2 linked regions of the Caenorhabditis elegans genome follow. The protein of the gene in region 1 purifies or fractionates together with the protein of each later gene. This does not show direct contact. Each region holds a gene or a part of one and is shown on either strand. Other genes may lie near its edges.

Region 1 (6,317 bases):
TGCAGTTATCTATAGCTCCTGCATCAGTCAAAAAACGAAGCCCTTCAAAACTGTCATGCAGAGTTTGAATGCAAAATTGGCAATCGCCTTGATGTGAGTTTTTCTTACGAGACTTACGAGAGTGAAGCACTTTTCACATCACAATTTTCAGAATAATACTGATCATCGTTGTCGTATTCTGTTGTGACACATGTATTCATCAAAAAGTCGCATATTTTTCTCGCATCAAGAAAAATGCAAAAATGCAGCAGTCCGTATCGGGACAGTCGATGCTCACTCAGTCATCATCTGCGGATGCAACAACTTACGAGAATTTTCAGCTGAGTGTAAGTTTACGAAATTTTACAATGCAAACTATCTAAAACATATATTATTTTTTTAGGTTACATCAGCCTCAGAACACCCTCTTCTTTGATTGTGTATAGTATCACAAAATAATTCTCACTTTGAAACGGGTATTTTCTTTTGATGTATTTTCAATTTGTAAATTACGAATAAAATCCATGCCATTATTACATTCACTTTATTTACAAAACATGTACATTTCCCCTATAATTCAACGGGAATATCAAAATTGTTTAGCTCGGGGGCTGAAGAATCAAAGTGTGAGAATGTCAGAGACCAGTAGATGCTTTAAATTCAATTTACAAATATGACGAGTTGGAGAAATTGCAGTCGTTGGCCATGGAAAAGTATAGGCTGTGCTTGTCGGATCGCAAGTCAGCATACATTCGGTGTGTCATGGGGATTGTTGTGGTTGACGGGCAGCTGTGCTTCCAGTTGAAGATGTACTCTTTTCTGGAAAAAAGCAGCGAATTATCTATGATTCAGGATCAAGGATTATAGTGCTCATTACCTGTGCCCATTAATCAGTTGCTGCTCCGTGAGCTCATCAAGTTTTCCAATTACAGCTATAGCTCTTCCAATCGGATCCTGTGGCTTGATGACAAACGTCGGCTCCTCATCAGTAGAATTATCCCAAAGGTTATGTACAGCAATGTTCACCAATTGTTTGATTGCGCTTTGAACATCAGTTTCCGATGGATATGGCGGGTGCATTTTTTCTCTCTGAAGATTTAACTTATAAAAGAAATCAAATGAAAACCCAAAAAATTCCAAACTCACAGCATTTTCGAAAAGTTGCATCAAGTGGACCTTCATGTTATGAATCATTTCGATCTGGCTACAGTACTTGGAAATTTCATTGTAATCCATTGGAGTGTTGTTGAGCGTCGCGTTTGCTAGAATTTTGGCTGTCTTGGTCCGCTGCTTTTGTTTCTCCTCAGACACGCCATAGCTGCTCTCGATTTCTGTGAGGCGTTCTAACGTGGCTGCAAACACGGTTGGCTTCATCCATTCGCGAACTTGATCGAGAGTTGCGTTGTTGAATATTTCGAGTATCTGAAAAAATAAACGATGTCCATTGAACCGAAATTATCTACCCGAAGGTAGAAGACAAAATATTTACTCTGATAAGAAATATACCTTCCGGCCGCATAAGTACTGTAAAATAGACACCTACACCGTATAAACGAACGATTGCAAAAAAATGCGTCAGACAAAAACTTAAATTTCAAGTTCAGTTCTCAAGAATTCCAAAGTTTTACACAAACCTCTTCTGCAATTTTTGTGTCATTGAAAATCCTTGCTTGATTGGCCACCGGAATCGGTAGTGCAGCTTCCCAGCTTCTCACCCACACATTATTAGAAATCAACATTCTCTCTGAGATTGTATTTGTTTTCTCATCATAATCTTTTGGCGAATGCCATCTCAGAAAGTCAGCAAAAACAGCTCCAGCATTTGCAGCCTTGAAGCTTTGCATATCACTTTTCACAAGTTCCATTTGCAGGTGCACGCGATCTTCCTCGTCAAGACTGAACAGGTGCTCATTTCGAGCATCTATCATCTCATCAGTGAGTGGGCAAGCATCTTGTGTGACTGGAATATACATGGGCACGTCTGGAATCTCGACAAGGTTCAGTCCAAATAGTTTGAGGCGTCCTTCGTTGTTCGGTTCAAGAATTGTTTCAGCATTGAAACTTTCATTCGCGTCAAAGAATTCATCTGAAACTAGATTTCTAACTTTTGCACTAGTGGTGTCTGAAACTTACCAGAATTATTGGCACTATGAGCAGAGTCAAGCATTCTGTGGCGCTTCTGGCGAGCATCAATGCATAACTGGAGCATTTGCATTTTCTGTGAAAATGAGCATTGCAAGTGATCAATTCCGTTGTAGACTTTTCTGAAAAACATTGCTAATTACCATTTTTACAACTGAACCTTGCTTACTCGACAGTTTCCATTTTCTCGTACTTCTCGCGAAGTTTCAGCAGAAACTCAACCCATAACTGCGGCTCGGCACGTGGTTGATCACTCATAAAAACTCTCGCATTTGCCAAGGCAATTGCCAATCTCCATGTAACAGTTGACTTCTTTGCACACTTGTACGGAGCAAGGAAGGTGTTCGCTGATTTGGGATTCTTATAATTGAAAAGAGTATCCAACTTGACGTTGTTCACCAGCTCGTCATCTGACAATTGGTTCTCCGACATACTAGCAGCATTCAACATATTGAGCTCGTGAGCCAAGGACTCGTTGTCGGACTCCGCTTCGTTGAAGATGAAGTTGACCCAAGATTTCATCAGAGCCTGAAAATGAATAGGATAATTACGTTTACCACTAGAAAATTTTGTCGTTTAACTAACCGGCGGCATTGGTCCATTGGTTCCACTATCCTCCGTCTCTGCATGCTTCCCAATTTTCACCTCAGACGCTGAGTTGATAGTGAGCTTTTGGAATGCATTTGGAAGCTCTTTTTGTGTGTAGTGTTTCCCAAGAATCAGTGCACAATTAAGGTCGCTACGGATTGCTTTTCTGGTGTCTTCTCGGTAGACGCCAAGAATTTCATCTAAAAAATATTGTTAGTTCACAATTAATCAGATAAGTGTAGCTCACCAAGTACTCCCAGCAATGAACTTTTAGTCGACTTCATTTTGATATTCCAATACGAAGAATAGTTGATATCAAAATCTGAATGACTATGGTTCTCAGTCAATGAGTTTTCACGGAAGAAACGCCACGTGGCAGCAATTTCAAGTATATCGCTGAAATTTTAATTGTTTTTTTTTTCAGTTTGAAAGTTTGAGTTCGAGTTCTTACAACGGCAAACTTGATGTTGGTCCAGTCGCGAGAAGACCAAAAGTTTCGACAGTATGATTCCGGAAATACTTACTTTGTTTCAACTGAAAATTATACATTACAATTTTAAGAAAATGAGCCAACGCTTCCTACCGGAACAACATGTGTGAATCTAGAGCTCATGCGAACTTCCTCATGAAACGCCGAGATGCTAGCTCCAAGATGCTCTTTGAACAAGTAAAGCAGATCGGTCATACTGCAGTGTCTTCGGTTAATGTTTCGGAGAACAACGGACTGCAAATATTTTGTTGTGATAGGCATTTTTAAATAAAAAAAGCTATATTCATAAATAAAAACTCACCGAAAAGTTATACGTAGAATTTCCATCCGACGCGTACCCAGAAATCATGTCCAAGCTTTGGTCCTTGATGTAGCAGAACACTGGGACCTCACTGGAATTTAAAAACCAAATTAATAACAAATCACAGTTTCACATACCATCTACTTGAGTGCAATATTGTTTTGATATTTCCCATAACGGTGTTCACTTGATTCTCGTCGGTGAATGTACCAGAGCTGTCATTTGGAGAGATGATAATGCATTCGCGAATGCCAAACTGAAATTTTAAAGTTTAATTGTTCATTTCGATTTTCAAAACACTAACCTTTAGCAAAAAGCTATCGGTGACTTCGAATCCATGCTTGAGGTTGGCAACTTCCTCGGCAACAGTGAATGGAATAACGTGGGCGTCTTCTTCAATCTCATCTTTTGGAGCTTCCACAAACTCCACGTCATTTGAAGGATTCGATGAAGCTGGCTGAAAAACTTTTTTGCATTTTATAATTTTTATATTTAGTTTATATAGTTTCTTGTTCATTTTGCAAAAAACTCACAACTGGCTGCAATAACTCGATTCTTAGCTTGTTCTCTCCAATCGAAATCATATTTGTGTCCGTCACAATCAACCGGTACTTCACATCATTCTGAACATAAATTTTTACTGATTAATGTTTGAAAAAAACAAAAACTCAAAAAACTCACCGATAAACACGGTCGGCGACTGGAAAACTCGTATTTCTGAAGAATTCCTTCAAATGCTGCACCGAAGTGCTCCATATCGGTGACAATTGTGAAGTCATTTATCTCGAAAACTGTGTTTTCCTCGATTTCCGCCATTGGAACGACAGGAAATGAAGGTTTGGCACTGCAAAATGAGAATGGTCTCGTGAGACGATAGACGTTCAATAGAGCGCAATTGCATTGTGACGTCAGCACGTAAACAAAAGAAGGGGGAAGGACGGATGGGCCTGAGAGGTGTGAGGTGGTTTATATCGATTTTTCGGTTGCTTTCATAAGGAAAAAAAAACAGAAATCGTTTATTAAGAAAAAGTCTATGTATGAAAAACTTCAAAAATTACCAAGCTGTGTTTGCTGCTGAACTGTTGAAAATTTGGACACATCTAGGAAAAAAAAGTGTTTTGACCAAAGTTTCGAGTACTTTGTTATTTGTTTTCGTGCTTGTTTTGCAAAAATCCGATACATTTTTTTCTAGAAAACATTCCATCAAGGGTTGTAATCAGAGTACCGACTGTTTTTATTTTTGACAAAAGTCAAAAATACTGATGACCTAAATTAAAATGTGAACATGAATTTTAAAAAAAACTAATTTTTGAAAGCGAACATGTTTGGAAAATCTAACTTTGTTTTATGAAATAAAATCACGGTAAATTAAAAACTAAGTAATTTGAACTTAAATGCACCCTTTTTGCAGTCCATTCTACTCAAAAAAAAACTTTCCCAAAAAAAAAAAATATGTCTGTTGATCCGAGTATATCGTTGGTTCAATTACCCAATTTGAAGTCGCGTAAAATTTCGAGCAAAATCTGCAGCTTTTAAACAAGTTTATTGTAAATAAAATGAAAATATTTACCCATGTGGAGTACACGCGCTTTTCCACGCGGTGTACGGCAAGCGATTATCAATGGAGCGCGAAAGCCGCAAGGGGAGTCCAGAAGCCCGTATTGCAGGTAAGCTTATGGTCTGTTGCCACGTGACACTTAAGTTTTGATTGCCGAAAATAAATTCACATTTTTAATGCAATATTAAATTTCAGCCAAAGGAAAGCTCTCTCATCAAATCAGAGAAAATTCTACGTCGATCTGAAGGAAAATGATCGTGGTCGCTTTTTGCGCATTGCTCCGATGAACCCACGTCAAACTCGCCAACAAATCGCCATTCCATCCGATGGAATCGCCGAAATTCATAAGGTGCTAACCGAATATTTGGCCAAGTTCGGAGAGGGACACGAACAGGAGAACACCAACACTCCAAAAATCACTGCTGAAAACAGAACGTTCCTTTTCCATTCCGGAAAGAACGATCGTGGAGAGTTTGTTCGCATCTCGGAGGAAATAATTTTGTGTCAAATAGAAGTTTATTCTAATTTTATATTCAGATCAAACTCAACAGCGGCTATCGTAACGCAATCACCGTTCCAATGTCCGCACTCGTCGATTTCCGCAAAGAGTTGGATAACATCATCGCCAACCAAGGAAAGTAGTGATCTACATGTTTTCTCTGCAAAAAAACAATCGTAATTGCATAACATCTTTCGAACTCGATAGTCTCCCAAAAAATTCCTCCAAATCTTTACTGCATTTGCTTGTAAAGATTTTACCTATTTTTCTAAACTGCTGTGTTCCTGTATTTTCACTCTACCTGTTTCGTTTATTTATTTATTTAAGCATCAAGTTTATTGATCTCTAATAAATTCTCGGGAAATTCGTGTCTTAATTATTAATATTATAGTTATTCTTGCCAGGGAAAGTTACGTTTCCTTATCAAACACCTGTTGCGAAACCAGAAAAGGGCGGGTCTGACTAAGTGAACAAATATTTCGTAATAACTTTCTTCCAACAGAAATTAAAACACGCAAAAAACGGCCAACTCACTAGCTGGAACGTGGAGCCCCATGATAACTCCATGATAAAATAACTCTGATTGTCGACATAGCTTCAAGAATATCGTATTCTGCATTTTCAAAAAGTATTTTTCGTTCAAAATGGGCTTATTCTTCTCTAAAATTTCTTCCTTCATGTTTCCAAATATCGAATGTCGTACATTGATGCTCGGTTGAGATGGAGCCGGAAAAACGACTATTCTCTATAAGCTGAAGCT
Region 2 (7,490 bases), on another chromosome or scaffold:
GAAAAATGATATTTTCATATCGAGTTTTTTCAAAATCAGTTTGGTTTTGTTGGATATTGTTCAAAACGCATTTTGCCCAAAAAATAAATATTGAAACTTTACAAACATTATTTGTAGCCCCGTTCCATGCCTATTCCTATTTTCCGTTAAAAGCCAAAAATACAAATAAAAATGAAAAATCTGTTTTTCGAACAATGGTATTTTGGTCTCATCACACTTTTGACTCTTCTCAATTATGCTTCGAAATAGGAACGAATTCAAATTTAACTAATGGCACTTGGGGTGCATCTTCTTTTGAAACAGAAAACTGACCTTTCACCCAAATGAAAATTACATGAGCTTGTGAAGATGACACAGGTCAGTAAAAAGAAAAAAGTGCGTGGGTATTTCTTTCTCCATAATTCTTGAAATTTCATTGGAGATATTTTGAAGAGGTGGGCTCATCTAAACATTAAGCTTAAGATTTTTGAAATATTTGAAAGACCCAAAATAACTTACACAATCTTTTCAACAAAAAAAACTGTCATGAATTTTTATTTCTGAAAAGTCTCCAACATTGTCGACAAAGGAATTGATTTTTAATGTCTTCAAATAATTTAGAAGCCGACAAATCAAAACTGTTGATGCCCTTCGCTCATCTCTGATTTATCATCGTATTTCTCAATTTCCCGCGAAGTTCGAATTTAGACATGTTCCAAGGTCTCCGAAACTTTTCACCCCAGAACATCATACAAATATTTTATACAAGCTTGAAAAAATGTTACTAAGAAATTTTATCTCCAGCAACCTAACATATAGTTACTAGAAACATTGTTGGCTGCCAAGTTCTGAGAAACACTACAATTTTTAAAGTTTTTCCGAAAACTTTTTTAAATCTTTAAGTAACTTATCCATTCTCTCAGTTCTTGAAATATGTTAGTGACAAGTTTTAAATATTTTTCCCAAGCCTATCTTGCAAAACTCCTGAATTAGAATCATTATTCAAAGCCATGGGAAAATCAAGAATGCAACCACCACCGCAAATGCTCGATGTGAGCTTTCCCCAAAATTTGCATCCTCTACAACACTTCTTTTTCACCTGCCCTCCGAAAGAGCACCTCTTCTCTTCTTTTTTTTGCTCTGACGACGACATCTAACAAAAAATCAATTTTTTTTCGTTTTTCCAAGCGGTCCTTTCGTGTAGTCGACCCATTCGTATTATCATTCGATGCTTTTTCACTTCTTATTTTTCGTCGCTTTTGAATTGCATATAGCGTGTTTATCGCAACGAAAAACAGACAAAAAAGAAAGCAAATATGCAAAAACAAAAAAATACGAAGCCAATAAAAAATATCTATCTTCAATTGGAATTCGAATTTTCAATTCAAATTCAAACCTACTAAAACCTACTATTTTCCATAATTATAGATTCTCAAAGGTCTCCAAAGGAATGAGCCAAGAACAAAAAGTTGAGGAGAATACTGCACATTTCCCTTTCTATAACTTTTTCAAGATCTACTAAGATTTTTGACCCTTGGGATCCTCAAAGTTTTCAAAAAGTAATCCTGCTCTTCTCTAAATGACGTTTTTTTTTTTGTTTTCATCTGTTCAAAAAACCCCTTAACTAGTCGTCATTCTTGCCCTTGAATAATAGGATAATATGATTAATCTAATGTCATAATAATCTCCTCTTCGTCTCCCATATTTTTTCCCATACAAGGATTTCATTTTTACATCCGTGTTTCTCGTATCAGAATGTATTCTTCTTCTGGAAAAGTAAACAGACTCCTACATCTCTCGCCTCTTTCTGAAAAATTCTAATTATTTCGCTTCTGTAAACACATTTTCATCCGGGGTTTGCCTATTTTCCCATTCGACCCCCGACTCCGCCTCTTCATTCTCTCACGGAACCCTTTTCTTCGACGCTTTGCATCTTGATTTACCTCTGATTTCATTTATCAATCAAACTTTCAGTCACCATGGTGAAATTAGACTTTTCGTCGCAAGACGAAGAGAACGACGAAGACTTGACAAAAGAGTTTGTAAGGGATGAAGCACCAATGGAAGAAACAACATCGGAAGCAGTAAAGCAAATGTAAGTAGAAAAAGAAAAGAGCCATAATCTTTTAGAGATTGTATCTTTCTTTCCTAGACACACTCAGAAAATGAAAACTTTTGAGTTTCCAGTTCAAAGAACTAACAAAACCTGCGACAAATATTATGGAAAATGCCAAAAATTTGAAACCCCAAAAATATTAATTAATTAAATATTAAAAAATATTAATATCAGAAAACCTGAATTCTATATTTTTTGAAACAAACTAAAAATCGAGTAAAAAGGGGCAGCACTAATAAGAGAGGTACAGCCAGTAGAATCGACTAATCTAAATTCGCCTCTAACTTAAAGTTTTGAAATTTACTGGAAAAATTGTTCGGCACCCGGTGTCCCTTCAAGCTCAACTTATAAAAAAAATAAGCTTGATTTTAAATTAATTGTCAAATCTTTGCTGAGGCCGTTCTAAGCATTGCCCAATTTCGGTACACCTTTTAGCAATGTTTCGGCAAATCATTCTCAGGAATTACCAACTGGTTATATTTTTTATGTTGATCGTTCAAATTTTATGATGATTCAAATATTTTTTGGCTTCACTGCGACATTATTTATCTTCATATAAATTTTAAACGATTATTTTAATCTGCTAAGGGGAAGAAAACAGAAGAAAAGAAAAAACGACAAACCATAAAAGAAACGAGAAAAATCATATAAAATATGAAATCTGTGGGCGCTCATAAACATGCGATGTGATGTCATGATCGATTCATGAAGGAACAAATGTTGTTCATTTTCGATTGATTTATTGCATTCTGTGAATTTTTAAACAAAAATAAAATAATTTCAGAGCAACAACGACAAAGGAGACGCTGAAAGATGTGGTTGTAAATAAAGTGATTGATGTGAAAGACGTTGTGAAAGAAAAGGTTATGCAACAAACTGGGAGTGAGTCATTAATTATTGGTTGGAGAAAAATTGAAAGAAATAAACCTGAAGTTACCAAAACCCCTTAATCTTTTTATTTACTGAATAATCAATACAACTGTAATTGATTTTTGGTTCTCAATTTCGTTTTGAATTTTCGAAATATTTTGAATATTCCCAAACTCTTGAATCTCAACAAAATTTCATTGAAACAGAAAACCACAACATTGCTATATTACTATGATTGTGATTAAGCTTTTTTCGATGATCTTTTATATATTTTTTACCAGAAACTTTGAATTCTTGTAGACAGAAATATAGAATTTATAACAACCGGTGTCATTTTTCAAGCTGACGTCATTGGTCTAATATAATAGTACCGTTTTCATTAAAATTCCTGGAAATTTTCATACAAAGTGTTCATGTATACTCTTTCTCAAATTTTCTCATTGTCTTTCGGGGATCTAAAATCGTTTTTTTTTCTTCCAAAAAAACTGGATGCTCCATCCGTTTCACAGCTTCAGGCTGTGTCGATTGTAATTTGATATTTGGCTACCACGACAGCCTTTCTCTCTTTTTCCTTCTATTCCTCCCCATGCGCTGAATATTTTAGATTTTTTACTTTTCGAGTATTGAAAAGAAGAGAAAGTAGTAACCAGAATTGACGTGTATAGAAAGATGGCCCCAGAAAAGAAGAGCATGTGCCAAAAAAGTGGTAGATGTCCCTAGGGAGAGACGAAAAATTAGTAGAAAAAGAGAGATAGAGAAGTAAAAGCATGAAGAACAATAACACATTCATCACTGGACACTAAAAAAGTAGTTCGTTTATGAGTTGGCGGCTCCAATGCTCCAATGGACAACAAATACTGGTGACGAAAATAATTAGGATAGGGAAAAGAGATATTCTTTGGGGAATAAATATTATAGAGATATGCAAAAAATAAATAAATACATACATCTATTAATAACTTATAGATTTCAATTAAATAGTAAACAAAAACAAAAAAAAAGTATAGAGAAAAAAAACAGCTGAAAGTGAATTTAATATTAAAGTAAAGTTGGTTTATTTTCTATTTTTCTCTCAACTTTTTCATATCCCTTTTTACGAGAATTTCAGTGCCTGAATGGGCGTTCGTATTTCTTGGATTCGTATTTATTCTGCTGGTTCTCGCGTGTGCATTCTGTCTCATTCGGAAGTTATTTGGAAAAAAGCGGCATGGTGAGAAGAACAAAAAGGGTGGATTGAAAGGATTCTTTGGTAAAGGACAGGATGTCGTTGATGGAAAAAATATTCAAGGGGTATGTTTTTGAAATGAAAAATAATGATGAAAAACAAGGAAGGAAATATAATAAGTTACGGAATACCGTATTCGAGCGACTTTGCGAAACCAAACATGTAAACTTGGTTATGATAATCTAGAGCTCCCATGTATGCATGGAGGTGCAAGAGTATAATAGGCACGTAGGTAGGCAGGCAATTTTTTGCAAGTGACTCCAGGCATGCAAATGTCTTATTTCTGGATTTCTTCCTTGGATTTCTTGGTATTGTTCTAATTTTTAGTTTTTGATTCTTAGGAAAATTTTATCAAGAATTTTACAAAAAAAAATTCCCGACTTTTTTGAAAACAAAAATCCTTGATCTAACTCATTTCCTAGAGTTAAACCTAAAACATTTTACTTGGATTTTTTTGAAAAACTTTTTATCGGGATTTTGAACCTACGAATTTTTGAATCTCGTTTATTGCTAAAACATTTTTTTAGCCAACCTTGCTGAACTCTTCCTAATTTTATAGCCCCTCGAGGTAACTAATTGTAAAAGTTGAAAACATAAATAACGATTGTCTCGGTTTTTGAAATAAGTAGTACAAAGTTTTGATTTCTCTTAAGATTGGAATACAAATAAATTACTAACTGTCGTTCTAACTGGAGTTCAATGAAACAAATTATTGTTCTAATAATTGTTTTTGAGAGCATGCATATTTTTAAAATAGCGATCAGAATCTCTTGGGGAATATGTCAGAATCAGTAATAGAATTTCCAAACGATGACGACAGAATTTTCATCAAAATAGATTAAACATCAGTGTTGTCTAGTTTGATTTTGATAATTGTATAATTAATTTCAGATGGCTCAAGACTTGGAAGAACTTGGTGATGCGATGGAACAAAATGAAAAAGAACAAGCTGAAGAAAAAGAAGAAGTGAAACTTGGAAGGATACAATATAAACTTGATTATGATTTCCAACAAGGTCAACTAACTGTAACTGTAATTCAAGCAGAAGATTTACCAGGAATGGACATGTCAGGAACATCAGATCCATATGTAAAATTGTATTTGTTACCGGAGAAAAAGAAGAAGGTTGAGACGAAAGTACATCGAAAAACTCTTAATCCAGTATTCAATGAGACATTCATTTTTAAAGTCGCTTTCAACGAAATTACGGCAAAAACTCTTGTCTTTGCAATTTATGATTTCGATCGGTTCAGTAAGCACGATCAAATCGGACAAGTTCTCATTCCGCTTGGAAAAATTGATTTGGGAGCTGTTATCGAAGAATGGAAGGATATTGCACCACCACCAGATGACAAAGAAGCTGTAAGTTTTGTTTTTTTTAAATGTTAATTGAATTATCAAAAAGTAATTGAGAAATAGAAGCACCGTCTATGTAGAAACGAATCAGTTCAGTTGAAAATCTACTTCCAAAGTACACTATTTCAAATATTTATAAATACAACAATATAAATTTGAGAGCTATAACACCTATTATCCTTCCAGACGTAAAAAAATTTACAATGCGATTCTTTCTGACCTCACATTCTTTAATAGCGAATTCGAAATACTTTAATCATTTTTTTGACAACCCAAAAACCAAAAACAAATTCTAAAAATTCAGGAGAAGAGTCTTGGTGACATTTGCTTCTCACTTCGGTACGTCCCAACTGCTGGTAAATTGACAGTGGTCATTCTGGAAGCAAAAAATCTTAAGAAAATGGACGTCGGTGGTTTATCAGGTAACTTTTTTTTAATTAAAAAAATTATTGATCCTAATTCTAACAAAAATCTAAACTTTAAAATTATAAGATCCATATGTGAAATTGGAAATGTTCGGAGAAGATAGAAAACGATTGAAAAAGAAGAAAACGAATATCAAACGGAAAACTTTGAATCCATATTTTAATGAGAGTTTTGTATTTGACAAATTGCCATTGCATAAAATGAAGGTGATCTGGGAATTCATAAATTTGCGCTGAAACTAAACTATTCTATATCCCCAAATATTGCTGGCTTTAACCTTTCTAACTAAATCTAACATTTCATTTTCTGGGGTAATTTTCAGATCCTTATGTGAAGATTGTGTTGATGCAAGGTGGAAAACGACTGAAAAAGAAGAAGACATCAATCAAAAAGTGTACACTTAACCCATATTATAACGAATCGTTCAGCTTTGAAGTGCCTTTCGAACAAATTCAGGTGGCTTTTTCTAACATGTCTTTCTAACTTTTTCATTCAACTTCGAGACGATTTTTGAATATTTATTTTTTTTTAATATTTGCAGAAAGTTTCCCTTATGATCACTGTGATGGATTATGATAAACTTGGATCCAATGACGCTATTGGAAGGTGTCTATTGGGATGTAATGGAACCGGTGCCGAGCTGAGGTTTGCTTTTGTTTTTTTTTTTTAATAATTTTTTAAATGAAAGTCTAAAAATTCTTGCAAGTGACCACAGAAATATGGGTTTATTTTTAAAAGTGTTAACTGGTGACATATACATTTTGATAATTGGAAGTTCTAAGAAGTTTGGTTTATTTTTTTCAATTTTTCATAAATCTAATGTGATACCGAGACCATAAACAATGTTGCGAAATTCCTTTATCAACCTAAACAAAAGTATTCCAACTATTTCCAGGCATTGGATGGATATGTTGGCTTCACCACGTCGTCCAATTGCTCAATGGCATACACTTGGACCAGTTGAAGAAGAAGGTGATAAGAAAGATGATAAGAAATAAATGTATGACTTTATCATTTTTTTTAAATTTAAATGCCTTATTCAATCTAAATTTTTCACTTTTTTTTAATTCAAAGAGATATTATTTTTCCTGCTTGTCCTTTTTCGTTCAAAGTTTCAATTTCCCGATGTACATAGGATCTAGTCGCTGTGAAAATCCATGCATCAAATATTTTTATTTTATTTTTTTATAATGCAATGTGTAGAAATGAGTAGCAATTGTCAGTGCCAAGGCGGTGATTTAAATATTAATCTCTCTTTGTTTTCACTCTTCCAACATGTTCCTTATATACTCGAATTCAGAGTTTCTCCTTTTCTTAATTTATTTAACTTTTCCAATTTATTTATTCGTTAGATGTCTATTTTTTGGAAATTTGTGTTTTTTTCTGTCAATCTTGCTGACATAATTAAATTGCATCGTTTACACATTTTTCTTTTTGGTAAATAAATAACTTCTAAAACTGATTTTATAAAAAATATTTGATGTTTTGTTTCAAAACTATTTGATGTGCTGCAGATTG

Evidence for each region. Proteins that work in one complex are often made in the same cells at the same time.
Region 2: the proteins of rbg-1 (region 1) and snt-1 purify together in Caenorhabditis elegans (affinity purification with western blotting, with the first as the bait; one study listed by BioGRID). This does not show direct contact.

Annotation. Positions count from the first base shown.
Region 1 is NC_003284.9:14,981,560-14,987,876, reverse strand, and holds rbg-1 (Rab3 GTPase-activating protein catalytic subunit), read right to left. Parts: upstream 4,345-6,317; 5' UTR 4,317-4,344; coding exon 4,182-4,316; intron 4,124-4,181; coding exon 4,034-4,123; intron 3,958-4,033; coding exon 3,805-3,957; intron 3,757-3,804; coding exon 3,638-3,756; intron 3,592-3,637; coding exon 3,501-3,591; intron 3,434-3,500; coding exon 3,293-3,433; intron 3,244-3,292; coding exon 3,161-3,243; intron 3,106-3,160; coding exon 2,957-3,105; intron 2,910-2,956; coding exon 2,707-2,909; intron 2,650-2,706; coding exon 2,291-2,649; intron 2,244-2,290; coding exon 2,113-2,243; intron 2,066-2,112; coding exon 1,614-2,065; intron 1,402-1,613; coding exon 1,126-1,401; intron 1,069-1,125; coding exon 857-1,068; intron 799-856; coding exon 645-798; 3' UTR 512-644; downstream 1-511. Other genes in the region: iglr-1 (Ig-like domain-containing protein), read left to right, coding at 1-93, 152-326, 383-415; plp-2 (DUF3467 domain-containing protein), read left to right, coding at 5,073-5,167, 5,254-5,737. UniProt on the Caenorhabditis elegans protein: Probable catalytic subunit of a GTPase activating protein that has specificity for Rab3 subfamily. Rab3 proteins are involved in regulated exocytosis of neurotransmitters and hormones. Specifically converts active Rab3-GTP to the inactive form Rab3-GDP.
Region 2 is NC_003280.10:6,809,010-6,816,499, forward strand, and holds snt-1 (C2 domain-containing protein), read left to right. Parts: upstream 1-1,958; coding exon 1,959-2,074; intron 2,075-2,879; coding exon 2,880-2,977; intron 2,978-4,073; coding exon 4,074-4,255; intron 4,256-5,081; coding exon 5,082-5,552; intron 5,553-5,850; coding exon 5,851-5,968; intron 5,969-6,038; coding exon 6,039-6,178; intron 6,179-6,294; coding exon of another isoform or gene 6,295-6,428; intron 6,429-6,513; coding exon 6,514-6,617; intron 6,618-6,867; coding exon 6,868-6,970; downstream 6,971-7,490. UniProt on the Caenorhabditis elegans protein: May have a regulatory role in the membrane interactions during trafficking of synaptic vesicles at the active zone of the synapse. It binds acidic phospholipids with a specificity that requires the presence of both an acidic head group and a diacyl backbone.